Linked DNA regions of Rhinolophus ferrumequinum. The protein of the gene in region 2 purifies or fractionates together with the protein of the main gene of each other region. This does not show direct contact. Links are inferred from orthologs where the notes say so. Each region holds a gene or a part of one and is shown on either strand. Other genes may lie near its edges.

Region 1 (6,825 bases), about 44 Mb from region 2:
TAACTTAAATGTGTGCAAAAATTACCTGGAAGGCTTGTTAAAACAGACTAACTGGGCCACTGAGAATTTTTTCCCCTAAATTGTCAGACGATGGCCCAGGCATTTAAACCAGGTAGTATACTATACGTCCTCACCTATCGCCTTTCCTACCCTAGAGCACAGCCCTCATGACCCTCCTCTGCGGAACCAACCCCCCCCATCCTGGGCTTTGCACTGAGTACTGACTAAATTCCAAACACCCAGGTAAGGCATTCCAATTATTTCATAGTCAAACTGCACAAAGAAATCTTATCAGTAGCCCCAGCTTCAGGGCCAATCTAGTCACTCCATGTCCTTTATAGGCCAGGCCTCCTCACGTTACTATCTACAGCTCACAGAGATAAGTGACTAGATCTTGAGCTCTCTCACATATGGAGTTGAATGACTTCAACAGGAATCCTAACCTCCCCTCCCTGGAGTTTTACTTTTGTTTTACTCCCAAAAACTTAGAACAGTTCTCCATCATCACACTGACCACTCTTTAAATACTTGCTTCTTTACTAGTCTTTCTTGCTAGAGTGCCAGTTCAGCAAGGACGTGGACTGACAGTAGCTTTTGTTAAAACCCTCAGACATCAGCAGTCTGCCGAGTAGAAAAGTTCATTTGAACAAGACGACAGACACGCCACATTCTAATCCACAAAAACAGGGACACTCACCTCCGCACAGCAAGGCCTCCTAGGAGTTTGTAACGCAGAGACTCTGCCTGGGCAATTGCACACAGACCTCTTGTGGCCACCTTTTCAGCATACAGCTTTAAAAAAGAAACAAGGTATATCTTTCAACATGTTCCTTTCATCATTGTTTTCGATTAAAAGTGAGCACATTCGCCATACAAGCATACAGGTTTGTATAGCTTACCGCAGTATCGCTCAAATACTAAAGCACGTCTACTACCCACACCCAGCTCACGCTCAGTGACCTAGGCTGAGCCAATCCTCATTGCCCTCCCCTCGCACAGCTCTTCCTACAGCCAAACCAAGGAGACTGATGGGGCAGCCAATCCATCATATGTGTCATTACCATACCCACGATGAATGTGAAAATCCCTTAACCACCAGAAATGAGCACTACTCACCGACCATAAATAAACAAAGTCTTCTTCAGTGTGACGGTAAAGGTTTTTAGAAGTACCATCGTAAAGAGCCATTTCTAGGTTCACAGTAACCTCTAGCATCAGTCTGGATCACTCACCTCTACACTGCCCTCAGGAAAGCCAAACCTCTTCTGAACCACAGCAGTCAATTCCCGGATCCTTCGGCCCTTCTCACCAAGAACATTCTGTGTCCTGTGGAAAATAAAAAAAAAAAAGTGACAATTCACAGCTCTCACAAAATTCCAGATGTAAGTTCAAATCTTGCATGTATGCAGCAGTAAAATCTCATTCACACAATACAAGCAAGTATAAAATTCGGACGACAAGAATAGACTAAAAAAAAAAGGCAATAAAAAAAAATTACATTTCCTAAGGCCAAATTCATTGGCTGTGCCCTTAAGTTTACCGAACGAACCCACGTTAGTGTACATGCAACAATTACAGGTGATGGCCAGGAGAGTAAGTTTTTACCTGGTGGCCAAAATAATGATTTCTGTCCTGGTTGGTGTAACTCGGACCTCAACTCCAGAGTAGCCATCTTCAGCCAGCTCCCGAGTGAGAAACTCGTTCAGTTCGGCTTTGAAGATGCCATCAGCAACAAACTAACCAAAAAGTAAAGTTCAAAATTAGGTTGTGTGTAGACTCACTTTTTCCTGCCTACTAGCCTTCCAGCCAATACAACCCTCATCAATTCAATACCTCCAACTAATTCCCCACCGTCAATCAGATTACCCTTGTTCCAACAGGAATGTAGCAACCCTTCTCAGACAAATGCCTCTAGGTCATCTTTTGGAAGTTACTCTGACCCAGGACCCTTAAAACTGTGTCACAGAACGCAGCACAGAGCAGGGGCACCTGGACAGACAACACCTCCAGTCAGACTCGTCATCTTCTCTTCATTGAAGGGTTTTAAAGACTGTCACTTATATGTACACAAATTAAACGAAAAACTTCTAAAGTGGCACATTTACAACTCATTCATTCAGCACAGCAGGACCACCAGCCAAGTGACAGATTAAGCAGTCAGTCACACTGCAGGCACAACCTGGACCATCAGAAGAATCCCAGCCATGTTATCTTGCCTTACTGGATGTACCTGTCTTACCGACCCGGCAAATCCTCACAAAAGCTCGTGGATTTAATTTTAACATGGATGTAAGTATACAAACAATGTCTAATTGCCTATGTCTAAAACTAATGAATTTTACTCTTTCCTCTCATGAAAAAGTGAGTTGAACCCGAGGAAGCGTTCTTCCCAGGTCTCCTAGATGGAGCAAGAAGTTGTCAGCTGCTTTTCCAGTTAAGGCCTTTGGGGTCTGAAGGCTGCACCCAGACACGAGTATTAAGGCGGCAGGAATACACTGCTACCTACCTTTCCCCAAAACCATGATGTTAATATCTGAAAGGAATGGCTCATGCCCTCAAAATACCACATTTACTAACTTTATTCGTCGAGCAAAAAGTGCTCACAATCGCCTTCTCCGAGGCAGGAGAGGCACCCGGTGCTCATCTCTGCTCTCCGCCCGGAACCGGCAGAAATCGTCTCCTTTCTCCGCCACACCGCACTCGCTCGCCTCGGGCCCCGTACTCCATCCACCGCCATCCGCGGCCCACGGGAATGCCTCGGGGGCTAAGCCACTTCCCAGGGTAGGGCACGGACCTCCGGGTCCCGTGACAGCACGCCGAGAAGCCCCTGACTCCCGCGGCGCTGCGATCCCCTGCACCCGGGCCCCAACGTCTCACCTTCCTCTTCTTAGAAATTTGCACCGCCATCTTGCCGCCGTGCGCCGCCGAAAGGAAAGGAAGTGGCTCGCAGGCGGAAGTGGGTATAAAGGGCGCGGCGTGACGACAAAGAACTGCGCGACGTCGACGCCTGTGGGTGCTCATGGGAAATACAGTTTTTATTTTAGGAAGGCCGTCAGGGAAAAGGAAAAGTAAGGGAGACACCTACAGGCGGAAACAGGCGGAACCGATCAATCTGAACTTGGATATTGCTGGGGAACTTAGAGTCCAAGTCCAATTCTCATAACTGTAGTTTAAAAATGAGCAACATGAGGTGTAGAGATGAAAATTACAAGTATAACTCACACAGGAACAGAGTTTAACAAGCGTGGAACCCTGGTCCCTACACTCCACACTGAAATGAAAATTGACTGAAAGTCTACAGTGAAATTCGTTTAGGCGCCCAGCTCTTCCGATCTGTTTTCATTTCCTCCGTTCCAAATGATAATATCTTGAAGCTTTCTAGGGACTGTTCTGTGTGCTTTATATTATTAACTCATTTATCCCTACCTCACGTTCATAAAGTCTGTTATAACTTGTAACAGAAATAACAAAGGAGTGGTTCATGGCCTCACAATTCTTTTTCAATTAAAAATAGTCCCCCCTCCCCCACATTTTACTATGAAAATCTTCAAGCGTACAGAAAAGTTGAAGGAATTGTGCATCCGCATATATGCATCACGTAGGTGCTGCAACGACCATTTTTGCTCTATTTGCTTTATCACGTATCTATCCATCCCTCTACCCACCCACCAATGCATCTTTTGACACATTTCAAAGTAAGTTGCCGACATCAGTACACTTCACCCCTAAACACTTCAACAGAGTTATTTTAAATTTGAGAATAGTTTGCCTGCATTTAAAAATCAGTATATTTCTCTCTTAAATTGTTTTAGGTTATTCTTTAAAAATATAGAAGGATCTAGCAAAATATCAGGCCTACATTTCCTCATGACTGTGTTCTCCTTCCTTGTTAGATGGCAAAAGGGCTTTTCCATGTGCCCTGGCAGCTTCATTCATTTCTTGTCTGGTCCTAGAAGCCATTTGAGCTTTTCCCCACTAGTAAAACAAGTCTGACGCAAAGATCTGTCCTGTAATCATGGGATTAACAGAGTTCTGGAGGGAGCTGAGCAGAGGGACCAGGGAAGCTGAAAAGAAGTGGATGAACCAAAGAGACAGATAGGCTATGGATCTGATGCATCTTGATGATGAATTGAGGTTAAAGGGGGGAATTGAGAATGATGCCCTGGTTTTCCTTTTTTTTTTTTTTCCCCCTAAGATTTTACTGGGGAAGGGGAACAGGACTTTATCGGGAACAGTATGTACTTCTAGGACTTTTTCCAAGTCAAGTTGTTGTCCTTTCAATCTTAGTTGTGGAGGGCACAGCTCAGCTTCAGGTCCAGTTGCCGTTGTTAGTTGCAGGGGACACAGCCCACTATCCCTTGCGGGAGTCGAGGAGTCGAACCGGCAACCTTGTGGTTGAGAGCCCACTGGCCCATGTGGGAATCGAACCGGCAGTCTTCGGCATTAGGAGCACGAAGCTCCAACTGTCTGAGCCACCGGGCCAGCTCTGATGGCCTGGATTTTGACTCCAGTGGTGGATGCTTGGTGACAACCCTCACTGAGATGAGGAACCCAGGCACAGGTTTTTTTCTTCACATGTCATCTCCCTCTGTTCTTCACTTCTCTTTTCATCCAGCTCATGGCCTGTTAATTCAGTGTTGCCAGGCTGCTAAAATTTCAACCTAGGTGAATCTGCCTACCTGACTTTGCTTTGCTCTCACTTGGGATGTGGGCACTGTGGGAGAGCACCCAGCCTTGCATGCTGGGGTCAAAATATTTCCTCATTCAGCTATGGCTCTCATTCTCCCACAGTGCCTATCATAATCTTTATCAAATCAGAACTGTCTTCTCATTCTTAGCTGTCAACCTGCCTCCTAACCTATTGCCCCCCCAATAGATTGTACAGGCAAGAACTGCCTCTCTGTCCTATAATTGTACGTGTCCTTGGCCATCCTTCCCTACTCAGGAAAGAGACCCTCTTTTTGACCAAGGTCAGCCTCCTCTGTGTGTTCTAGTTCAAGTTTAGTTCTATTCCTTTGAGACCTTGCTCTAGCAATCATGCCTTCCCTTTGTGTGATAGATACTCTTCCTTTACTGGCTGTTTCCTTCCCCACCCCTCGTGTTAAATATGTTACTTCCTCCAGGGTTATGATGCTGTTGGTTGTAGAACAAATTTTAAAAGATGTTTTGTTTTTACTGCATTGTATCATTGCTCAAGGACTCACATTTCTTACTTACAATAAAAGTAAGATCCAGTGTATGGAAGGGCATGAGAAAACGAGCAGTCTCACACTGTAGGTGGGGTGTGAACTGGGCATCTTTTTGGAAGGCAACTTGATGATACCCACAATAATTTAAGCTATAGATTCCCTTTGGCCCAGCAAATACATTCCTTTGTATCTACTCCAGAAAAACACCTACACAAACATACATGGAGGTGGATGCAAGAATGCTCACTACAGCCCTGTTAGCAATAGTGAAAACATAAATTAAGAACAGCTCAGGGCTGGCCCGGTGGCTCAGGCAGTTAGAGCTCCATGCTGCTAACTCCAAAGGCTGCCAGTTCGATTCCCACATGGGCCAGTGGGCTCTCAACCACAAGGTTGCCAGTTCAATTCCTCGAGTCCCACAAGGGATGGTGGGCTGCGCCCCCTGCAATTAGCAACGGCAACTGGACCTGGAGCTGAGCTGCACCCTCCACAACTAAGATTGAAAGGACAACAACTTGAAGCTGAATGGCACCCTCCACAACTAAGATTGAAAGGACAATAACTTGACTTGGAAAAAAGTCCTGGAAGTACACACTGTTCCCCAATAAAAGTCCTATTCCCCTTCCCCAATAAAATCTTAAAAAAAAAAAAAAAAAAAACAGCTCAAAGCCCTTCAGCAAGGAAATAGTTATGAAATATTATGTAATGACTAAAAAGAATGAGGTGGCTGTATGTACACACATGAAAAGAGCACCAAGAGATATTGCTATGTGACAAAACAGATGCAGAACAATATGGACTATATAATATTGATGTACAATAAAATAAAAACATAGATGAATACAAATGATGCGTAGAAGAATCAATAGCCAACTAATAGAGAGCTAAACTTACTTCTGGGAATGGAGCAGTACTGAGGGGGTGGTAAAAAGGCAATTTACTTTATTGCTCAACTTTTCTTACAATAAAAATATCACTATTTACTTATGAATATCACATATTACTTATGAAATTGAAAATGAATAAAAAAAGAAAAAAAATGCAAGGGCCACAAACAACATACATGGATTTCTGATCATGTGGTCACTTGTGAAAAAAATGTGAGTGGACCAGCCTCCAACACCAAATCCCATAATCCTGTCTTCTGAAATCTTAGGGTAAAGAAAAATTTATTCTCTTAATCCAACTATAATTCTCTACTGTCTGTCATGGTAGCCACTGGCCTCATGGGCTATTAAGTACTTGAAATGTGGCTGGTCTGAGTAGAAAAACAGCTCTACCTGTAAAATACAAGTATATAAAAAAAGAATATCACAATAATTTTTATATTGATTACATGTTAAAACAATAACATCTCAGGTGTATTGAGTTAAATAAAATATGCTATTAAGTTCACCTGTTTCTTTCGCTTTTTTTTTAATGCGGCTACCAGAAATTTCAGAATTACATATGTGGCTTATATTTCTGTTGGGCAGTGCTGCTGTACTCTTTCAACGCAGAAATCAATGGTGTTTTCTTTTCTTTGTTTCCATGAGATTTGGCACCGTGATTGGCAAAGAGAGGGCACTTAGTTACTGTTTGCAGACTTATTGAACAAAAGAAAGCTTATAAGGAGTCTTACCAATCTTGTTGCCTG
Region 2 (7,219 bases):
TTGTGAGGGCTCTAGAGCCCTTTTATATTCATTCATCCTGTTGGTAACTTAATTAAAGACTGCAGTTAATCAATGTCAGCCCAATTCATCTGTGAGCTTTCATCATTGAATTATTATTCTTCAACATTGTCTTGTTCCTGGGAGTGTATTTCCTGCAGTCATTAGTACAGTTCTGGGCACATCATTTCTCACCACATATTGGAAATGTCTGTCTCCCATGTGACTCCCTGCCAGCCTGGAAGCTACGCCACAAGGGCAGCTCTGGGTCTTCTTTGCCTTGTCCCCCAAGCCAGCAGAGCCGAACACGCAAGATGACTGAACAAAGCCAGAGCACCTCTCGCAGGCCAAGGTCTCCTCACAGGCCCATCCCTCTCCCCTTCTGTACTCCCTGGCCACTCACGGTTGTCAAAGATGGGATGCGAGAGGACAGGTGACAGGCGGAGGGGCCTGCCTGATGGGTCCCGCACTGTCACCTGGAAGCAGAGCCGAACAGCATTCAAATCGTAGTCCCCGCGCTGCTCTTCTATGGGAACTGCCAGAAAAATGACGGTCAGGAGAGCCAGGGCAGGGGGCACTCAGGGGCAAGGAGCTCTGGGCTGGCAGGGCTGTTTGAGGGTGTGTGAAACAGGAGTCCTAGAGGAGGAAGAGAAGGTTCTAGCCCCATCGCTGACCTGTATGACCCTGGATGTCATGTCCCCTCTCTGGGTCTCGGTTTCCCCAATGGTAAATCAGGAATGTGTACTAAATAGGCAGCGAGATTCCATCTGTACTTTGAGGCTCGGCCAATGAGGGAGAGATGCAGGGAAGGAAGGTGGCCTTGGAAGGGTGACAGGGTGGGGTGCTCCTTCGCCCCCTCAGCCCTCACCTTGGAAGGGGTTGTTGTTGGTCTGGATGCGCTGACTGATGGCCTGCTCCAGGTCCCGCTTCTTTACACACTGGATCCCCAGGTTCTGGAAGCTGAGTCCCCCCCAAGCATCAATCACACTGTCTCCAGCAGAGCCTGGGCCCTCCTGCCTTGCCCCTTCCTCCGCCCCGTGACCAGATCATCACTCTGTGCTTAACCCCCTCACTGTGCTGCAATGAAACCCAATCCGGACTCCGAGTGACACGGGCTTCTACCCTGTGACCTGGCACCAGCCAAGTCCCTGTGGCTCCCTACTCTCAGGCACAAGGGCTTCTTTCTGTTCTCCAAACTTTTACTTCAAGGCCTTTACACTTGTTCATTCTGCTTGGAATGTTCTCTCGTGCTTCTCTGTTCTTTCTCACGGTTCAAGTCTTTCCTGACAGAGGCCTTCCCGACCTCCCAGTTCAAATTAATGGGACCAGCTCCCCGGCCTGCCCCAGCCCAGGCCGTTCTACCAATCTATTACTGCTTTATTTTCATCATCAAAATTGTTACACTTGAACAGTATCTTGTTTAATTATTTATATATTTATTTACAGTCTCCTGTCCATAAGCTACAGGAGAAACTGTTGGCTCAGTGATTTTCTTTCTCACTGCATGGAATGTGACACTGAGGGACTCGCCCTTCCAGCCACAGGGGTTAGGGGGCTTAGAAGTAAACAGAGACCCATCCTCATCCCACCAAGTTCATGTCTGCTTGGGAGAGTAGACGCACAGATAATTTCAAGACAAAGGAAATCCGTTTGCCAGTAAACAGTGCGAGTTATGCTCTGTGTCCAGAAAGCAGTAACACTGTAACAGCGACACAACTGCATAGCCTCTTGTCCTCCCACTTCACCCCCCACGTCCTGCCCGCCTGTGGGGTGTTCACCTGTGGATGCAGCGGTCTGGGCAGAGCTCAGCCTCATAGAAGCCATCCCGGCAGTCTTTCCCCACGAGCTCGTGAGGGTGAGGCCGGTGAGGGGGGTCCTTGGTGACCAGTGAGATGCGAACTGTCCCTGGCCCCGTGTAGCCATTGATCTGTCCAAAGTACAGAGAGCACCGTAGAGGCTCAGGAATTCCAGACCCAACTCCCAGACACAGATTGCAGGGGGTAAGCCTGCTGGGGTTTCACGGTCCCACCCGCTGACTCCATGCCAGGCAGCCGGTGCTGACCTTGATGGTGGGGTGGGTCTTGGTGGTATCAGTGCTCCTCTCGCCTGGAATACTGCCTGCTGAGCGACCCTCGCATTTGTAACGGAAGCGCATGCCCCGCTGTTTGGGCTGCTCGATGATCTCCACATAAGGGCCAGAGGCCTGGGCTGGCTCTGCGGGGAGACACCGGGCACATGGGCCAACCCCCATCAGGCAGCTGCTCCCACCACTCCAACCCTGGGGAGCTCCTCCAGAGCCACTGAGGAAAGATGGTCCACTTACCTGAGGGGAAGATGAGCGGGTACAGGTCTGAAAGGGGAGAGACAAGCGTCAGCACAAGCCCACATCCCATCCTCACCAAGGAGAGCCTCCCAGGGAAACTGAGTCAGGGCCTGCTCCCTGGAAGCTGCGGGGGAATCTAAGGGGTGGGAGTAAAGGAGCCAGAAACACCTGTTTCCTGAGAGAACACTGGGGATGGAGTTCTCCCCTTACTGGGGGAAACTGAGTCAGATACATTCTCCCCTAACAAGGAAACTAAGTCAGAACTGTCCCCTTGTGCCCCGAGGAGGAAACTGAATCAAAGCTCCCCCTTTCCCTCCACCCAAGGAAAATACTGAGTCAAGGGCCCCTCCACCCAGAGGGGAAAATGAGTCAGACCCCTCTACGCCTGCCCCGCCCCGCGCCACCATCCGGCCGGCCGCTCCCTGCGCAGCGCCCGTCCGCGCAGGAAGGGGCGGAAGGTAGCGCGGAGGCTCTCGGCGCGGTCCCTCCGGCCCCAGTGCGGCCATCCCCCGGGAACAGAGGACGCCCTCACCCTCCATGGCCGGGGTCCCGGGGGCGGGGCCGGGGTCGCAGCTGGGCCCGGGGCGCGCGTTACAGCAAAGCCATTCGCCAGAGGCGGAAATGCGACGCGCGCGCCCGCCGCCGCGTCACTGCCGGGAAGCAGCCGCGCCTGCGCGCCTCGCCGTCGCCGCCGCCGCCGCCGCCGCTGCCGCTGCCGCCGCCGCCCCCTGTGGGGCCGGGAACCACTGGGCGCTGCGCCAAGGACGGAGAGGCAGCGTGCACGCTGCTGCCGGAGACCGGCAGCAAGTGCGCCTTTCCAGAGACCGAGTCGGTCCGGAGGCCGCTGGCCGGGAGGCTCGGCTTGCTTCTGGGTCTGGGCCCCGCCTGGAGGGCGGACCCGGCGATTACTCACAATGTTTTTAGGGGATTTCGGGGCCCCCTCCCGCCAATCAGAGGAGTTTGGTGATGTCACCCGGGCCGGGTCTGGAGCAAACCTACGACTGCTGGGCTCCTGCCGCCAGCCCTGCTCAGGGAAAGGCCCGTGCCTACTCCGTCTTTGGCCGAGTGACTGAATTTCACAGTTTCCTAATCGCTAAAAGGTGTCTTTTGGTGATTGTCGCCGCAGAAGTACTTTTTAAATTTCCCATCCACACTAATTTAGATGCAGCGGAGGGAAAAGGGAAGGGCCCGGACCTCTTCACATGGCGGTGCTTTGGTCACTGGGCTAAGCGTGTCCTGCTGCACGCAAGGGGCGACAGAAGCTCCGTACTGCGTCCGCTATCGCGGGCGGACCGGGCCGAGAGCTTCTCGCTTCCAACTCAAACACCAGTTTAAGGTGCATCACACTGCCGGCCCTCGGTGGCAATGGGTTAAGCATAAGGCGCCCAGGGGTATATCAACTGGAGCCTCGTCTCTGCCACCTGACGCCTGTTATCTGAGAAGGTCCGGAACCCCCAGGGGCCGCTTAGAACTCGCCGTGTCTCGCCGCCGCACCCCACGCCGCCCGTCGTCTCCCTAGGACCTCCTGCAAGGGACCAGCCGTCGGCTAAACCATTTCCACTGATTAACTGTCATGTGATTCCTCAGGGGGATATTGTCCCCAAGTTCAAGCCCTAGGCGGCGTTCGTGCGGGATGAGGGTGGAGGCTGGGGCTGGAGCACCCTCCACCCCCGACCGGTTCCTCATCCCAGAATGAGGATGCTCCATCGCAGGCGGTGGAGCCTTCTCCAGATGGAAAAAGACTTTATTTTCTCTGAATTCGTTCTAAATTAAGGAATCTTATGGGAATTGGAAAAGATTGGAAATTCTGACTTGCTTTACCAGGCTCTGAAAAAACAGGAAAAGAAAAGTGAAAATAGTTACCACCCCTCCCACTCATTTCAGTTTCTCCTGTGGCTGGCCAGGATTAGGAAAGTCAGTTTACTTTTTTGAGGAGGCTGACTTTTCAAGTCCACAGAATGGGTTACTTATAATCTTTGGTTAATGACACACAATCATCATTGATCCTTGCATGATCCTCTTTTAAAAAATTCATATATATTTGTAACAAATCAATAAATTGAATTGTTGTGCTGACTGTAAAACTCAAGGGGCTGAATAGGACACCACCAGAACTTACATCTATCTCGGTGCTCCACATCTGTCCATCCCCTCATCCCGGTGTCCAGGGCACCACCATCTAGAATTCTCTGTTTGTTATTCCCTTGACGTTTTTTTTTAAAGAAAAAAAATTTACTCATATACATGGCTACACAAATATGTTGCTTGGTTTCGCTTACTTTTGAACTTCTATGAAGAGAGTATCTTGTTTTTTGTTACTTGCTTTTCTCACTCAACATATTACTAAGGTTTATGTTTCATAGTTCATTCACTTTTTACTGCTACATACTATTCTGTTGTGTAAATACACCGCAGGTTATTTATTTATTCATCCTGCGGATGGCCATTTGGACTTCCAGTTTTCACTATTACAAGCAGTGTGGTTAAGAACATTCCTGTGACTGTCTCCTGTTGTACATGTATCCAGGAGTTTTCTTCAGTATATACCTAAAAGTGATTTATTAGGGTATAGAATTTCCCATTATCAATTTTCAAAATAATGCCTTGGTTCTCTAGCATCCTCCAAAATTTAATGCATGCATTTTAAAAAAGTCTTAATGCATGGATTTAAACACTTGATATGCTTTAATCTGTTTTAATTATTCTTATTGAAGTTCAAATTGTTCCATCTTTGGCCACTGGGAACCTTCTGAAGTTGGTTCTTCGGTCCTTTTGACACAATTCCAATAGTGTCCAAGATCTGGAATCAGACAGCTTTCTGAGGAATTCTGATTCCTTTTACTGGGAAATGGTATTTAGAGACCACAGTCTGAGTTCTAGGGATACTTATTGCTAGTGGGTCAATCATTATGGACCTTTTCAGTGAACAGTTAGGCAATATATATGAGTATGTATATTTTTATATGAAATGCACCAGGAATTCATACTCATATCTCCTTTTCAAGTTTAGGACTACAGGGTTTTAACTTAACCTCAATCATCTTACATATTCTCTCATGTCAAAAAAATCTCAATTCTCTTTTTACAGAAATAGAAAAATCCATCCTTAAGTACATATGGAACCTTGAGGGACCCTGAATAACCAAAACAATCTTGAAAAAGAAGAACAAAGTTGGAGGAGTCACACTTCCTGATTTCAAAACTTACTACAAAGCTACAGTAATCAAAACAATGTGGTACTGGCATAAAGATAGACATATAGACCAATGAAACAGAATAGAGAGCCCAAAAATAAACCCTCACATACATGGTTGAATGATTTTTGGCAAGAGTGCCAAGACTGTTCAATGAAGACAGTCTTTTCAACAAATGGTGCTAGGAAACCTGGCTAGCCACAAGCAAAGGAATGAAGTTGGACCCTTACCTAACACCATATACAAAAACTAACTCAAAATGGATTGAAGAGGGGCAGCCAGTTGGCTGAGTTGGTTAGAGCACAGTGCTCATAACACCAACATCGCCGGTTCAATTCCCACATGGACCAGTGAGCTGTGCCCTCCACAACTGGATTGAAAACGACTTAACTTGAAGCTGATGGGTTCTGGAAAAACACAGTGTTCCCCAACATTCCTCTTAAAACATACATACATACGTACATACATACATATATAGATGTAGCCGGCCCGGTGGCTCAGGTGGTTGGAGCTCTGTGCTCCTAACACCGAAGGCTGCCGGTTTGATTCCCACATGGGCCAGTGGGCTCTCAACCATAAGGTTGCTGGTTCGACTCCCGCAAGGGATGGTGGGCTGCGCCCCCTGCAACTAACAACGGCAACTGGACGTGGAGCTGAACTGTGCCCTCCACAACTAAGATTGAAAGGACAACAACTTGACTTGGAAAAAGCCCTGGAAGTACACGCTGTTCCCCAATAAAGTCCTGTTCCCCTTCCCCAATAAAATCTTAAAGAAAAACAAAACAAACAAACAAAGAAAAAAACAATAGCTAACAGGCAACTAGTTATGGCAGCTAAGGTGCATCTAAATAACGAAACACTATGTAGCCATTAAAACTGTGCTGTAGAATATTTAATGACTAGTGTTCAATTTATGTTGCTAAGTGAAAAAGCTGGTCACAAAACAGTATATACAGGAAGAACCTATTTTTGTATTCAAAAGATAGCACAATAGTTTATAGAGCAGGGGGTGGCCAACATTCTCTGTAAAGGGCCAGATAGTATTTTAGGCTTTGTATTTCAGACACAATTATTCAATTTTAGTGTGAAAGCAGTCATAGACAAAAAGTAAATGAATCAAAAGTATGGCTATGCTCCAATACAACTATATGTGGACACTGAACTTTGAATTTCGTAATTTTTATTTGTTGTGAAATATTCTTTTGTTTTCTTAACCATTAAAAAATACAAAACCATTCTTAGCTCACTGGCTGTAGGAAAACTAGCAAAGGATTGGATTTGGCCTGCAGGCCTTAGTTTGCCCACCCCTAGTTTACAGGACATTCTACCAAAATGTTCATGGTGGAAATGTCCCCCATGATGATCTGAGGTTATTTTCTCCCCCTACTGTGGTCTAGTTTTCTGAAACAGTACTCCGCCCCACGTCCCCTGCACCCCCAACTATTTGCAAGGCTCTTCCGTTGTTCCCTCTCTAAATCTTTCCTTAAGTATATACACTTCCATCAGTCCTGCCCTCAGCACCCTATTTAAAATTGCAACCAACCTGCCCATCTCCTTTACCTTGTTCATTCTTTTTGGTTTCTCCAATCACTTTTGAATAAACTAAGTAATTTACTTTTTAATATATTTACTTTTGTTATATAAACCCAACCCCCAACAATGTAAGCTCTATGAGAGCAGGGTTCTATTTTATTCACTGATGTAT
Region 3 (7,305 bases), on a different chromosome or scaffold from region 2:
CCGTTTTGCAGAAGTGTGCTCGTACAATATTTAAGGGAAGGGGGCAGAGCACAGGGAATTTGTCCATCATCCATCAATGCCAAAGCTCTCAGTGAGACCCAGCCACTCTGAGGCCAACCCAATCATCCTCACCTTCAGGGCAAACCAGCCGGAAATGGGGAAGGTGATCAGCAGCAGCAAGAACCCCAGGAAACTGATGAAACCGTGGCAGATGCAGGAAGGCCAGGTCTGAGGAGCATCTAGGGAAAGAGAACAGGCAGGCAAGGGGTGCCAACTGCAGGCAGAGTGAACGTAGTCAAATGTACCTTTCGACCTCCTCCCACTTCAGCAGCTCCTTCTTTCTCAGGGCTCTCGATCTGCCTCCTTGCCTAATATTCCCATATCTTTGTGCAAGTCCCACCCTCACAAGGCTATTCTCTTCTGGGCAACAGCCACTGGATCTGAGAAGCCAAACCACGTAATGCTCTCCTCACTGGGCAGACAGAACGTAAGTCAGTCTTGTTGTCTGATTTATACTGCCTTCCCATACATGGCACAAAGCCAGGCGCATCTGGGCATCTGTAAACACCAGCTGAGTTGAACTGACTGCTGTTGCATAACTCATCCCTCTTCTACCATCAGTCCCAGAAGTGTGCTTTCAAGGAGTCCTTTTGCAGATAATGCCTTAGCCCAAAGGGATAAAGCATTAATGACTCACCAATAGGAGCCATAGGTGAGGGCTAAGATGTTCTTTCTTAGCTCACATTCTTCAGTCCATTTTAATGCCCTAAGGACCATCAAATGAATGCTTCACTTAAAGAGCTTCAGGTGGGAGATGGGGGAGGGGCAAACTAGAAAGAGGAGGCTCATTTGAGCCCAGGGTGTTGGCCCCTGAAGAGGAGCCCAGGATGAGTGAAGCTGAGGCAGCCTCAGAATCTGGGATGAGGTTATCTGCTCTGCTTTCCTCCCTGCCCTGGACGGGAAGCAGACTGGAGCCTCTGCTCCATCTTCCCAGGAACCGCACACCCTCAGGGCTCTCCGAACCCCAGGATACTGTCTCCTTTCCTGCCTGGCCCTGATCCACGTGTCCCCTGCAGGAAAGGAACCCTTGGATGGGGCAGCTGTCATTACAGGAGGGCCCGGGAGGGACCAAATCCTCCACGGCTTGGTGTGAGGCTGAGGAATGTGGGATCTGGAATGTGGAACTCAGGCTTTGAAGCAAGACAGGGCCAGAGCAGACCCACAGACCACTAGGGGCCTTTTTGGCTAGTGCATCTCCACCAGGAAACAGGGAGATGTTCAAGCTCAGGGTGTCTAGTCTAGAGGTGTCCTGGGGGTGAAGATTCTGCCATTTCTCTGCAGCCAAGTGCCCTTCGTGTGCGGATGACCTTCTATGGCTAGACCTTGGTTTCTTTCTAGTCAAAACGGCAACTTGAAACCTATGCCCAGGTTTCCTCCTCTTCAGAAAGGGAGGGTTGTCTGCATTCCTGGGGTCCCTCAGGAGTCCTCGCCTCCTCCTGCATGTTTCCGCTGAGCCTTAGAAAAGGTGCATGAGGGGAAATTGGCGTTGCAGGGGTTTTTTCAGGAGCTGAATCCTCTCCAGAATCAAGGAAATGACATCAGCACTCCCTCTCCAAACTCACGAACTGGGGTAGGTGTGTACGCGGGTGCTGGTAGGGCAGGCGTGCTTATCTAGAATTACGGTTTCTCCAGGGCGCGGTCAGCAAATTATTCTCCTTTGTGTGCCCACAGCCCAGCAAGCAGAGCTGATAAGAGCGGAGGAGGAACGAGGTGGCACGAGCCTTCCTAGACGATAAGAGCTCCGCAGCTGCAGCCCCACAGCCCCAGACAGGGCCGCGCAACGCCAGCATCCAGCGCCCAGTGCCGGCCCGTCTCGCTCCCTCCTCTTAGAGTGCGAGCGCTAGAGCAGCCGACTCCTGACAGGCAGCGAGTTCGCGCTGGGGATGCCGGCGGTCCCCCCGGGGTCCGCAGTGCTGGGCGGCCACTCACCAGCTTCCGTCTGCACGCCGCCGGGCTCCGGGAACAAGCAGCCCTTCTGCGAGCCCAGGAAGCCTAAGCTCGACTGCTGGAAGCGGTCGAAGTCCCCCAACGGCAGCGGCCGGTACCCAGACCTGGCGAGCATGACTCCTGACGGGACACACCCCCACTCAAAGAGCGCGGCCCGACCTGCCAGCCCCTGCGCCGCCCCCCTGCGGCCCCCGCTTCCGGGTTTCCGTGCCCCGCCGGCGCGCAGCAAGAGGAGGCTGGCCCGCTAGGCTCCGGTCGTCGCACAGCGCCACCTGCTCTAGGAGGACCGAACTGCGGCGGCGGGGCGGGACGGTGAGCTGCGTTCCTGGGAGCCCGCAGGAGTCCTCGCCTTCTCCTGCATGTTCCGCCTGGGCCTTAGAAAAGGAGCATGAGAGGAACTTGGCTTTGTAAGGGGTTTTTCAGGAGCCGAATCCTCTCCAGGATCAAGGAAATGGTACCAGTCTTCTCAGCACTCCCTCTCCAAACTCACATACTGGGTTGGGTGTGTGTATGTGTGTGTTGGGAGGGGAGGGGTACTTATCCAGAATTACAGTATCTCCAGGGCATGGTCAGCAAATTATTGCACTTTGTGTGCCCACTGCCCAGCAAACAGGTACTGGCACAGAGTGGATCTCAGTACTTGTTGACCAGGTTACTGTGGTCAAGGTGGGGCGGGAGGGCCTGAACTTGGGCACAAAAAGAGAGACATTTCATGTGCAGACCTCAGGGAGCACGGTGGAGTAAGGAGTGGAGGGTTAGCACAGAGCTACCACGTGGCAGGCCCTCCAGAGCATCTCAGACGTGGGATCCTCAGTCCTGCAGGTCTCGAAATAGCACATCCCTTGTTCCAGGTACCCAGAGGTAATGTGACTCTCCACGCCTGAGCAAACCCAAATGCAAATTGCGGATTTAATCTGAGAAGCATTAACTTCCAATAGGGCATTGAGGCAGGCTGTCTTTCAAAAGAGTGAAGAAATTAATAAAGCTTTCCTTGTCTCGGGCACATGCCAGTCTGCCTACTCATGCCTCTCAGTCCCCCAGCCATAGCCCAGTTCCAGGTCCCTTCTGCAGATGGCTGCTCACCATCTTTGGCTTTTCCTAGTTTGATGGCCTGATTCGAAAGCCCTAGGAGTACTGATCAGGTTGGAGGTTAGGGCCGGCTCCTGGGGCCTCACACAGTCCCGGGGAACTTGGGTTTCCCCCCATTTCTCCTCCACACACCTTCATAAACTTTTACAAGAGCAGTGCCCTATCACCATCCCTTCAAGCCTGTTCCAAGCTGTAACTGAGCACAGAATGGGTACCCAAGAGCCAGCACAGCGGTTGGGATGATTTGAAGTTTGAAGTCAGGGGCACTGGCCCAGTGAGGCCGCCTGGAGCTGTGCAGTCTCCCCTCACCAGGTGGGGGTCTGGCATGCATCTCTGCTGGCCAATAGCTAACTTGCTCTCTCCTCACTCTTCATACCCATTCACCAGCTCTCCCCCTCCCCCTATTCCCCACTGCCTCAGATACACCAGCCTTTCCAACTGTCACGCAAGGCATCACCCTGTCCTCCTCATCTCCACTCGTGTCCTTCCAGTGTCTCTGACTCAGATCCCTCCTTGCATCGCACAGCCACTGTCCTAGACCAGGCCACCTGCCCCTAGGTTGTCTGAGTGACCTTTACAACATGCACAACAAACACATCACGCTGTACCTGGATTCCAACCTGACTCTATCGCCTATAAAACTGGTCCATCTACTTAGCTTTGATTTTGCGCCAGCCCACTCCTGGGCCGATATAGCTCTTGGGTCCCCTCTTAAATCAGAAAAAAACCCAAACTACTTTCTAAACAGGCTCTCCTGTTGCAAACCTCCATGCCTTTGCATATGCTGTTCGCTCTGTTTAAAGTGTCTCCCCAATCTCTGAATCCCTGGTGAATTCCCACCGTTTCAAGTCCCAGCTGAGGAATCTCCTTTCCAGCCAGTCTCAATACAGTGTGAAAAATCTCCGTTTGAGGGCCTGCCCTTTCACTAGATCTGGGGTTCCTCCAAAGCAGGAGTCACGTGTGGCTCATCTCTGTGTCCCCCGACTTCCAGCGGAGGGCTGGCACAAAGCTGTACCACTGTGAACTGATGGAAGGTTCAAAGCGGAGGGCAAGGGATGCCTCCCCCAGGTTGGCTGGGCCATCGTCCGGATCATACCCCCAGGTCAGTTGTGCGTCTCCTCTCCGCCTTCCTCCTCACCGCCCTGGGCGTGTCTTCGAAACCCCCAGTCGGCTTCTCCGCCCCTTGAACCGCCCCCAGCTCGTGTGTCACTTCCTCCCGGGAGGCTGGCGGTGAGTCGGCACCACCACTTTCGGACAGCTCCGGAGACTCAGCCATTTGGCGCACGAGTCTCGTTCAGCCTCTTTTCCCGCCCCTTGAGATCAAATCCGAGAATCGAAACTGCGCTGAGATCTATGCCCCAGGAGCTGGCACCCGCCCGATCATCCGGGCCCCAGCAGGACCCCGCACTGCCCCACACGTCCACCATGCCTCCCCCGGAGCCCCTGTCCGCAGGCCAGCAGCGCAGCCCCGGCCACAGCCCCACAGAGGTACTGCTGGGTTTGGGGAGATGGGGTTTCGGCTCTGTTGATTTGCAATGGTGGGAGAGATGAGAAGGCAGAGGGAACTTGGCCACGTACACAGAGGGAAAACCAGATGCCAGGGTCCTGACCCACTTGGCTCGATTAGGGGTAGGGGAGAGTAGAAAAGGGAACGAGGGGATGAGTTAAGGGAGCCACTCTGGGCTGCGATTCTCCACCGAGCAGTGCCACCTGGGACCGGACACTTCCGCCTGCGCGCCGCCGACTTGCCTCTTTGCCCTTGCTGTGACCAAGGCCGGCAGGTTAGGAGAATGGAGGTAGTAGCCCTAAAGTCCCCGCCTGGAGCCAGGGTCATGTTCCACGTGTGGGGGTTAAAAAACAACAACAACAAAAAAAACACCCAATCCCAGCTCAGAATGGGAAACCGTGGCCCGGACAAGAGAGCTGTATCAGCTAAGGCCTCCCAGCTCCTGTGGTTTCTCCCCTAGGAAGCCTTCCAGATCCTTCTCTGGGAACACTCTACTCGCCTAACCCCTATCACCAAGAGGGGTTTATTAGGCTTTCCTCCTGTAAGCTTTTGCCTTAATCTTCTTCCGGACAAACCCCAGCCTTACATACCCGAAGGAACTACTTAGACACAAGCTCGATGTTCTTCCAGACCCGTTTGAAAGCACAGATTGCAGTAATTCGTATTATTTGCATAATTACAACTAGGGATAGTATTGCTTAACATTACTAGTTAACATTTATGAGCACTTTTCAGGTGCCAGGTACTGTAGTAAGCACTTTTTTGCATTTTTTAAATTGTGGTAAAATAAACACAACATAAGATCTGCCATTTTAACCATTTCTAAGTGTATGATTCAGTGGTATTAAGTACATTAACCATGTGTAACCGTCTCCACTGTATATTTCTGGGGTTTTTTTCAAATAGAAACTCCGTACCCCTTAACACCTTCCTCTCCCGTTTCTCCAGCCCCTGGTAATCTCTAATCTACTTTCGGTCTCTGAATTTGCCTACTCTAGATAATTTCTTATAAGTGGATTCATATAATATTTGTCCTTTTGTTATTTAGCATAATGACCTGAAGGTTCATCCATGTCGTAGCAATGTCAGAATGTCCTTCCATTTTAAGTCTGAATAATATTCCATTGCATGTATATGCCACATTTGCTTATCCATTCATCTGTTGATGGACGTTTGGGTTGTTTCCACCTTCTGGCTGTTGTGAATAATGCTGCTATTTATGTGGGTGTACAAGGATCTGTTTGGGTCAGTGTTTTCAGTTCTTTTGGGTGTATATCTAGGAGTGGAATTGTTGGCTCATATGGTTGATCTCTGTTTAACTTTGAAGAACCACCTAACTGTTAAGCACTTTATGTGAGGTTGATACTTAATGTATCTTCTTTCTAAACTGAATTCCATGAAGACAAATATATCTTTGTATCTCAGGGCCTAGTACTTTGTCTGATGGAAAGTAGATACTTAATAGATTGCGGAATGAGAGTGAGAAGGCCTAAGTAAATGGGAAACTGGGGTGCTGATAAACCTGGGTTTTGCATCATCCTATGACTGCCTGGACTGGAATGTGAAATCCCATTCCAGCCTCCAGCCTTTGGGGCAGGTATTGGGTGGTTGAGGATTCCTGGGACCTCAGGCCTCATCCTCCTCCCCTCTGGTCCCCCCTCAGCAAGCCACGGAGGAGGACTTCCAGTTCCTGCGCTGCCAGGGCTGCCAGGCAGAAGCCAAGTGCCCTAAGCTGCTGCCTTGTCTGCACACGCTGTGCTCAGGATGCCTGGAAGTGCCCAGCATGCAGTGCCCTATCTGTAAGGCGCCCCAACTCGCAGGCACTCTCGGGCCGGCCCTGGATAACGTCTTCTTCGAGAGTCTGCAGCGGCGCCTGTCGGTATACCGGCAGATCGCTAATGCACAGGCCGTTTGCACCCGCTGCAGAGAGTCAGCCGACTTCTGGTGCTTCGAGTGCGAGCAGCTCCTCTGCGCCAAGTGCTTCGAGGCGCACCAGTGGTTCCTCAAGCACGAGGCCCGGCCCCTGGCAGAGCTCCGCAGCCAGTCGGTGTGCGAGTTCCTAGACAGCACGCGCAAGTCCAACAACATCTTCTGCTCCAACCCCACCCACCGCACCCCTGAGCTGACGAGGTGAGTCAGTGGGCGGGCTGCGGTGGGGGGGCCGCATCCAAGAGCCGGGGAGAGGGTGCGGGGAGCAGAGATCCAGGGTCATAAAGCTGAGAACGTGGGATAAGGAGCTTGCAGGGTCTCGCAACAAGCAACATCTCTGACGATGTGCACAATTTATGCTCTCCGACCTGAGTGGATAGTAAGAGTTTATGATTTTCCACTCTAATAAATAATGCTGCCGAACCATCTTTGCACCTTATTCGGTAATTCCTTTAGGATCAATTTTTAGAAATGCCATTGCTAGGTTAAGGGGTATGAAAATTTTACATTGTTACATGTTACCAAACTGCCCTTCCGAAAATCTTAATAGTGGAATTCTCCGTAAGTGCTGCTGTGGGATCTCCCTCCGTATAGCTCCGTTTGATTCTAGTGGGATAAAATGCAAGTAGTTAGTTTCTGCTGAAAAGTCACAGTTGTAATACCGTGCTATCTGGGAATGTAGGTATGGCGGTTATTATTTTTATTAAACAGCACAAGATTTTAATTCCTTTTTTGATAAAGACTACAATTAAGTGTTTAAAAAAAATTAGGAA
Region 4 (7,401 bases), on a different chromosome or scaffold from region 2:
GAATTCTTTCCTGCTGAATTAAACTTTATTATTTTCTATGCACTTGTATTCATTTATATGTGTATAATTTTAACAACACTTCATGCATCCTTTCACTGAAACGAACCTAGTATTTAAAAGTCCTCACAAAAAGTGAAAAATACACAGTAACAAAAGAAAATAGTAATGGTTTCATACTGCTGATTTGCATTTAACTGTTTTACAGCTACCTCCTCAAAAGATAAGCAAGGGAGGTGAATAACAAGTTTAAGTTTTTGTTGTTTGGGGACCTGATAGGAGACGAAGGAGAGGTGCTTCTAAGCCCACTGGATACCAAATTGGAATAATAAAGCTGTCTTTCTAAATAACATGCCAGTACCTGTCAGTAGCTAGTTTATTTGAGTTTTTCACTGCTTTGTTTATATTAATGCCCCCTCCCTCCTGGATGCCTCCAGAGTTAAACAAGCAGGTATTTACCTCCAACTTAATCCTGAGTTTTAAAAATATACACCAAACTCTAAAGTTCTTAAAATTTTCAATCATATTTATTTATTGCAGAAAAATAATATACAAAGATATTTACAAAACAATCATAAAAATATGAATGCATTTAGACACCGGATCTATTTGCATTTTACCATGGGTCATCAATAAATAAATAGAATGTTGTTTTTTTGTATTTTAAGTTTTTTTTTCCCTCAGAGGAAGAATGAAAAAAAAAAAAAGGAATTAACTGACTATGATTTTGCCAGTCAGTTTGATCCCAGTATTTTTACTTCTAAAGGTGTTCTTAAAATTCCTCTGATTGTTACCATTTTAAAATGGAGAAAAGTCCATACTGTTGCCTTTCCTTTCAGTGGCTGATTGGCACGACCTCTTGAGAATGCATGCATGAAAAAATAAAAATAAAAACATTCTTCGTCAAAAAAAAAAAAAGGAACACAAACAACTGTTCAGACTTCTATCAGAATGTAGAGGTGTGAGGATGGTGCCGCTGCCCGTCTGGGGATCACTGTCCACGGGCCTGTCTCGCTTTCTTTTTTAAAAGTGCGCCCCACGCCCTGTTTCTTTGGATTTGGGTTCTGCTCTTCTAATTTCCAAGAAAATCTTTGGCATATATATTTATTTTTAGTTATCCAGCTCCAGAGTCTCTAGACTGTCCATTTTCTCCTTCTCTGGAAACAATGACATCTGCAAAAACCCAAAAGGGGGTAAAGTTGGTTATTGTTTAAGTCTCTGTGGCTGTTTTCTAAGACTAGTGAGCACTTATCACCACCGAGAAATTACGCTGAACAACCTGGAAGGATTTCAGCCCAAGGGCAAGAGGAAGTGGGTGGGCGGAAAGGAGGTGGAATTTGGAAACACTGGTTGTAAGGAGAACGAAAACTTTAAAGCCAAAAGAAAGGGAGGCGCTTGCAAGACTGTCCTTAACCCAAGACCCTTGCCTCTTGTTCAGTCTTCCCTCCTGTCACGCACACTCACGCACACGCACACCCCTCCCAAAAGCGCAGCCCACTCTCCCTAGCCGGACCGACTGTCTCCAGGGACACTCGGGATGAGGTGGCGGTACCAGGTTGGGTGGGAAGGCTGAAAGGGAGAGGAGAAGGAAGGCGAGGAGGGCAGGGACCCGCGGCCTGGCCGTTAGTCTTTCTGCCACCTGAGCGGCGAAGGGGCGCAGAGGCGCCGGTCCTTACCTAGGTCTCCAGCCCTGCCGAGGGGGTGGGGAGCTCCGCCTGCTAGTGGGACGCGGACATGGACCAGGCCCCCTCCATCCTCCAGACCGAGAAGGCGTAGCTAAGCCGCTCGTGGGCCACATAGCTGCAGCTTGCCATCTTGGAGTCCAGCTCGTCGCTCTGGAGGACCTGGTAGAGGAAGTCGATGTACCTGGCCGCCAACTTGAGGGTCTGGATCTTGCTCAGCTTGTCCGAGGGCAGCGTGGGGATGATCTTCCGCAGCGCGGCGAACGCCTCGTTCAGCGACTGCGTGCGCTGGCGCTCCCGCACGTTAGCCATGACCCGCTGCGTCTGCAGCTCCTCGTAGGACTGCGGACTCCCGCCGCCGCTGCTGCTGCCGCCACCGCCCGCGCCGCCGCCGCCGCAGCCCGCAGACTTCTTGCCGCGCTTGCCCTGTGCGGGGCTGCCCGGCTCCTCACCGCCTCCGACGCCCCCGCCCACGGCCCCGCCAGGCCCCGAGCCGCCGCCTGCACTGCGCCGGCTGCTGCGCCGCTTGCGCCCCCCGCGCTTGCCGCTCGGGGGCTGCTGCCGGTCCGGCTCCTCCTCACTGTTGCTCAGGCTGTCGTCGGCCGGCGAGACTGGCGAACTGGACACGTCCTGCATCATCTCTCGGGCGGCAACGTACGGCCTTGCAGGCCCGGGGCAGAGGGGCGGCCCGGGGAAGACGAGGAGAGCGGGACGCCTCAGCCCGCCAGCTTCCCCAGCGCGCGGCGCCGGCCGGGGCGGTGCGGCCCGCCGAGGAGGGAGCGGGAGGAGGGACGGGGAGGATCTCCGCAGGGAGGGCGCGCGGGGGAGGCGGGGAGGGAGGCGGGAGGGGGAGGGGACGGTGTGGATGGCCCCGAGGTCCAAAAAGTAAGCGCTCAACGGCTGCACGCACACCCTCTCGGCCTCCTGGAAACGCTGCGGGTGCCGGCGAACCCGCGATGTGTCTGGGAGTTGGGCGAAAGCTGCAGACTTGGAGGCTCTTATACCTCCGTGCAGGCGGAAAGTTTGGGGGCAGCAGTGTCATTGGCCTGACGTGGGGAGGAGGGACTTTTCGAAGTTTTATAGGAAAGTTTCCGCTTTCCAGCCCCCCTTCTCCGTCCCCACCCCCCTTCTTCGGGGTCTAACAATTCGTCCTCCCAAACCATTCAAAACCGACCTGGCTCGGGAGACCGGCCCCTCTGCCCGCCTCCTTGCTGCCCTCCCCCTCCCTCCCCGCCGCCCTTCGCCCGCGGGCGCGGGACGATTTCCTTCCGCGCAGGAGCGGGCGCGGGCCGCGCCCCCGCACCGGAGTGCAGCCCCGGGAAGCGGCCGGAGGGGACCGTCGCGGCCGCGGTGTCGGTCCCTCCCGGAGTGGCTGTGACAGCAGCGATGGCAACAGCTTCTTCGCAGTGGGTGATGTCTCATTTCGCCACAGTACCCTCTAGGTCCGTGGGGCCGGTTGGGGATTGCTGGGGCGGGGGAAAGGCAAGACAACTGGCAACGCGGAGCCCACCCAATGGTTAGATAGACGGGGCCCTGGAGTCCCAAGGGCCAAACCACCGCGGCTGGCCCTGAGGTCGTGGGCGTTTCTGAAGACGTGGCCGCGCCGTGGGGACTGAGGATCTGCGCCCCGGCCTGCTCTCTCACCCCTCCCCTAGAAGCATCTGGCCTTCTTTTTCCCTCCACAGTCATCCAATCTAAAGCTTCCCAACACCCAGATGGACTACATCTACGAAGGTGCCAGAATGAGGCAGAAGTTAATTCTCCCGCGGAAGGCAGTCCTGTCCTTGGAGTAGGCGTCAGGGCCGGAGTGGGCAGCGCAGCGTCTTCGCCGCCGCCCTGATCGCCTGAGCTGCCATCCCAAGGTGGAGGACCCTGTGTCCCTTTCGTCCCCCTCTCCTAAATAAGGTCCTGCGTTGTGACCCCTAAAGGTCGGCTCCTAAGAGAGTGAGATGGGGGTTCAACATTGTTGCCAGCTGTGAGAGTCCCCTTCCCCACACCCCACCCCCACCCCCCATTCCTAGGAGATCGAGCGGGCAATTAATGCTTCCTGCGCCCCAAAGGCATTCCAATTATTTGGACACTTTTACATTTTAAACATTTCTATCCAATAAATTAACGAAGATCCCCTAAGAGGGTGTTAATGCAGAATCTGACAGATTGGAAGCAACAAAAGTTGGTGAGCTGGTGAAGTGAAGGGAAGCCGCTGTGGAAGAGAAGCCCATCTTTGCAATGCAAGGCTTTGTTTTTCTTTTTATTTTTTTGAACGCGTTGGGATAGAAGAACCGTTTCATATTCACGCCTTACGTTGCAAAGCAAACCACAGGTCAAAAGTAGTAGTTGGGTGGGGGGGTGGCAGATTTGGGGGATGCCGGTGTTGTGTGCCCTGCGCTCGGGTCCCTTGCGCAGGCCATGGATTAACTGAGCGAAGTGCCCCTTTCTTGGTCGGACAGAGGGTCGAGGCCGCGGGCGCCCTATGGAGGAGGCGGGAGCTCGGGCGACGCGAGGGCAGGCCACGTGGCTGTGCGGGGCTGAGGCTCCTGCAGCTTCGATTCGGGAAAACCCGGGGTCTGGAGCGCTTGGGGCAACTGAAGGGCTCAGTCTTCTAGGGGAAGTGAGGGCAAGAGGCATCTCTCCCGCGGGGAGCTCACAAGATTGTACTTTGTACTTTTTGGGGGGCAGGGAGGGCCGACTCGCAGGATTTGTCTATCACTATTTTTACGAATATTCAGAAACAATGACCACTGCATGCCAACTCTTGCTTCGCGAGTCGCTGCCATATTTTAAAATCAGCTTCTATGAAAATCAAATTCTACTTGACCTCCACTTAATAGGCAGGTCTCCACGTAGGCAGGTCTCCTTAAAACAAAGCTCACTCTGATTAGTCACCCTGGTGTTTGCATCTTCTGCCGTAGGACTTTATCTCTTGGAAGCAGTTAGAGAACAAGGCAGAAATTCTGCCCTCCTCTCTACCTAGTGTTCTCTCTTGGAAATCTGAGTTGCAGAGTATTCCGCGATTCTTACTTGAACGTGACTTCAGAATTCTTTAAAATATTCCTTCCACATTTGCCTATCTCGGTTTTTTTTTTAAAGCATCAATCTCCAAACTTAATTTTTTGTTTTTGTTTTTCCCTTTAGCCGAATTCTCAAAACTAAGGAGATCGAATAATTGGACTCTTTCCTTTGTGGCTGTGGGTAAGCAAGACAGGAAAGTGTGGGCAAAGTGTAAAGGAAACCTTACCTGACCAAGGGGAATTGGGGTTGGGGGGATGGAAATGGGGGCGGAGAAACTGGAGGAGAAACCGAGTCCATGACTGCGCAGCAGCCAGGGATCATTAGCCAGCCCGACTTGCAAAGTCATCAATCTCCAAGACTAGTTCTTAAACAAGTGAGCCCAGACCTTCTCGGGCACTAAACTTCTAGGGGGCCATTTAGTACAGGGATCCCCAGGGCTGAGGCGAAGCTCTGGATGACAGAATGCCTAGAAGAAGGTTTAAAATGAGTGACCTAACCAGAACCATCCGGGCACGGAATCTTTCTGACGGAATCAAAATGAATGACTGTAGTTCTGACAAGAAATCTCTCTTGAACTCTTGGAAAGAGTGGAGGATGAGACTGAGAGGGGTTTCCGAGTGCTCACATGTTACTTTTTGAGCCCAAGGATGTAGCTTGCCCAATGAATTAACCTTGCAAAACGTGTCGGGCTTGAAACACCCTGCTTTGCAAACTACAACGTTTCCTGGCTGGATTATCCCACCACTCTGCTCATCTGTAGCTATATATCCTACTTGACATTTTGTCTAACAGTTTTCTTACCCACTCTTGCTGGTGCACGAATAAAGGTGGGATCCCCTTCTGTGTGCTGAAGAGCCAAATGTAATTCTGCATATGTTGTATATGCAATGATAGCTTCCAAAATATTTAACCTACGAAAGCTTACTTAATTCTAAAAGCTTAATTGCGGGTTCTTAAAGAGTCTTAGAAATTTACCTTTGGGGCTGAATTCAGCCTGACTTGAAGGACCTCGGTGGAGGACTACCTTCTTTGGGAATACTGGATTAATTGGAATTAAATCATTTTGTTTACTTCTAGCATAAATTCCCTGAAAAATAATTTAACTGAAAACAAAAAAAAAAAGTTTTCTTTTGCACTCGATAGTTCAAAACGAGCTTTGTTTTCAAACTGCAAACTTGGCATGTTTGCAGTCCTGTTTGCAGTTCTTCCTGAAGAATGTGTGTGATGTTACAAATTAAAAATGCTGTTAGCAGTAACAGTTAGGAATCTCAGTGAGAATCTTCCATAAGTATGTTTATATCTGTATCTTTACAGTTGGAATATGCACTGCCATTCTCTTAGCAAGTCATTTATAGATACTTTTAGAGAAGGAAACACCCATACACTATGAAATGGTGAGCAAGTCGGTAAATTTTGGAGTTGGGGCTTGCACAAAAGGTGAGTACTTAAATCTGTGTGTACTCCTTCTTCTCAGTCTTTGGATGATCTACCACCTGTTTGCTGGCTTAGAGTTCTGTAAAATAATTTCTCAGAATTTCATGAATGAAGCATGGCATTCACACAGAAGGGGGCGCAAATTGGAAAACGCTGCAGTGGAGCAGATCTGCCAGGACATTGCACATCTTAGATTAAATCAGGTTTTGCACACTACCGGGATTTAAATGAGAAAATTTTATCGAAATGGAACATAAAGTTTATGTCAGCACAAAGGACTTTTGATCCTCTGTGTAAAAAGCAGATGCTTCCTCAGTGACACAGGCAGCCTTAATGATGTTGGAACACCTTGCCCTAAATTAGAGGTCATTCTTTTTCTCATTTAATGGTAGGTTAATTCATGCATTGGACTGATTCTACGTTTCTCTTTCGGAATTTCTTTAAGAGTGAGGAACTAAAGTTACAAGGAATGAAAATTTGAAGCTTTCAATCCAGAAATTAAATGAGAAAGTATAAGTCACAAGAAATTGAGCTGCCAAGATTACCTCAAATAAGCCAATCAAATTTTCAAATAAATATTAATTTTTCAAATAGCTGGCATTCTGCACTTAAAACAAGGATGAAATAAGGAGACATAACTTGCTGAAATTGTAGGGAGAGAAGAATCAGAGTGGAAAAGTATGGAGTTTTGAAGAGTCTTTCCTCCCTCTCTCTTTGTTAGTTTATTGGGTGTGCAGGCTAGAGAGTCTGTGTCCCATCTTTGCTGCCAAGTAACCTTGTTAAAATCATCTCATTTTACTTATTTCAAAAAATTGCTGCAATAATTGAAGAAATAATGTGATAAATTCATAGTTATTCATAGATGCTTTTGTCATGGCCGAAAACTTCCTACATAGTAAACATTTTCCCCTTCTTTTTAATCATCTGATAATCAAGCAATTTAAATGTAAATCAAATGATTTGCATTTTGCCTTTTTCCAGCTAATGTTCCCTTTGTAATCACTCACAACTTGCAACTCTTTTTACTTCCAGGGATTTTCTTTTATCCACAAATGGCTCCTCCTATCCCCAAGCCTTAAATCCTATATTCATTGTTTGGATTGATTGTTTCTGCAAAAAACATGCTGTTTTTGCCGGTGACCACAAGAGGACACAATTTCCCAGAGAACTTTGTTTAAAAAAAAGCTTAGGGAAAAGGAAAACTCACAAAAAAGCAAAAATACTACACAATCAACAAATGTCATTTGGGCATGTCTGGCTGATTTATGTAACTTTT

What was found.
Region 1: the proteins of RELA (region 2) and RPS3 purify together in Homo sapiens (co-immunoprecipitation; 5 studies listed by BioGRID and IntAct, with this or other methods). This does not show direct contact. The link is inferred for Rhinolophus ferrumequinum from reciprocal best matches to the Homo sapiens genes RELA and RPS3.
Region 3: the proteins of RELA (region 2) and PML purify together in Homo sapiens (affinity purification with western blotting; 3 studies listed by BioGRID, with this or other methods). This does not show direct contact. The link is inferred for Rhinolophus ferrumequinum from reciprocal best matches to the Homo sapiens genes RELA and PML.
Region 4: the proteins of RELA (region 2) and TWIST1 purify together in Homo sapiens (affinity purification with western blotting; 3 studies listed by BioGRID and IntAct, with this or other methods). This does not show direct contact. The link is inferred for Rhinolophus ferrumequinum from reciprocal best matches to the Homo sapiens genes RELA and TWIST1.

What each region holds. Positions count from the first base shown.
Region 1 is NC_046294.1:50,086,942-50,093,766, reverse strand, and holds the start of RPS3 (40S ribosomal protein S3), read right to left. Parts: upstream 3,019-6,825; 5' UTR 2,908-3,018; coding exon 2,878-2,907; intron 2,040-2,877; exon of another isoform or gene 1,893-2,039; intron 1,737-1,892; coding exon 1,606-1,736; intron 1,327-1,605; coding exon 1,233-1,326; intron 793-1,232; coding exon 698-792; intron 1-697. UniProt on the Homo sapiens protein: Component of the small ribosomal subunit. The ribosome is a large ribonucleoprotein complex responsible for the synthesis of proteins in the cell. Has endonuclease activity and plays a role in repair of damaged DNA.
Region 2 is NC_046294.1:6,052,295-6,059,513, reverse strand, and holds the start of RELA (transcription factor p65), read right to left. Parts: upstream 3,015-7,219; 5' UTR 2,860-3,014; coding exon 2,853-2,859; intron 2,348-2,852; coding exon 2,321-2,347; intron 2,212-2,320; coding exon 2,060-2,211; intron 1,925-2,059; coding exon 1,776-1,924; intron 958-1,775; coding exon 866-957; intron 533-865; coding exon 401-532; intron 1-400. UniProt on the Homo sapiens protein: NF-kappa-B is a pleiotropic transcription factor present in almost all cell types and is the endpoint of a series of signal transduction events that are initiated by a vast array of stimuli related to many biological processes such as inflammation, immunity, differentiation, cell growth, tumorigenesis and apoptosis.
Region 3 is NC_046289.1:98,761,176-98,768,480, forward strand, and holds the start of PML (protein PML), read left to right. Parts: upstream 1-4,303; 5' UTR 4,304-4,449; coding exon 4,450-4,584; intron 4,585-6,266; coding exon 6,267-6,733; intron 6,734-7,305. Other genes in the region: STOML1 (stomatin-like protein 1), read right to left, coding at 133-239, 1,990-2,122.
Region 4 is NC_046303.1:20,389,100-20,396,500, reverse strand, and holds TWIST1 (twist-related protein 1), read right to left. Parts: upstream 2,681-7,401; 5' UTR 2,319-2,680; coding exon 1,716-2,318; 3' UTR 1,674-1,715; intron 1,171-1,673; 3' UTR 521-1,170; downstream 1-520. UniProt on the Homo sapiens protein: Acts as a transcriptional regulator. Inhibits myogenesis by sequestrating E proteins, inhibiting trans-activation by MEF2, and inhibiting DNA-binding by MYOD1 through physical interaction. This interaction probably involves the basic domains of both proteins.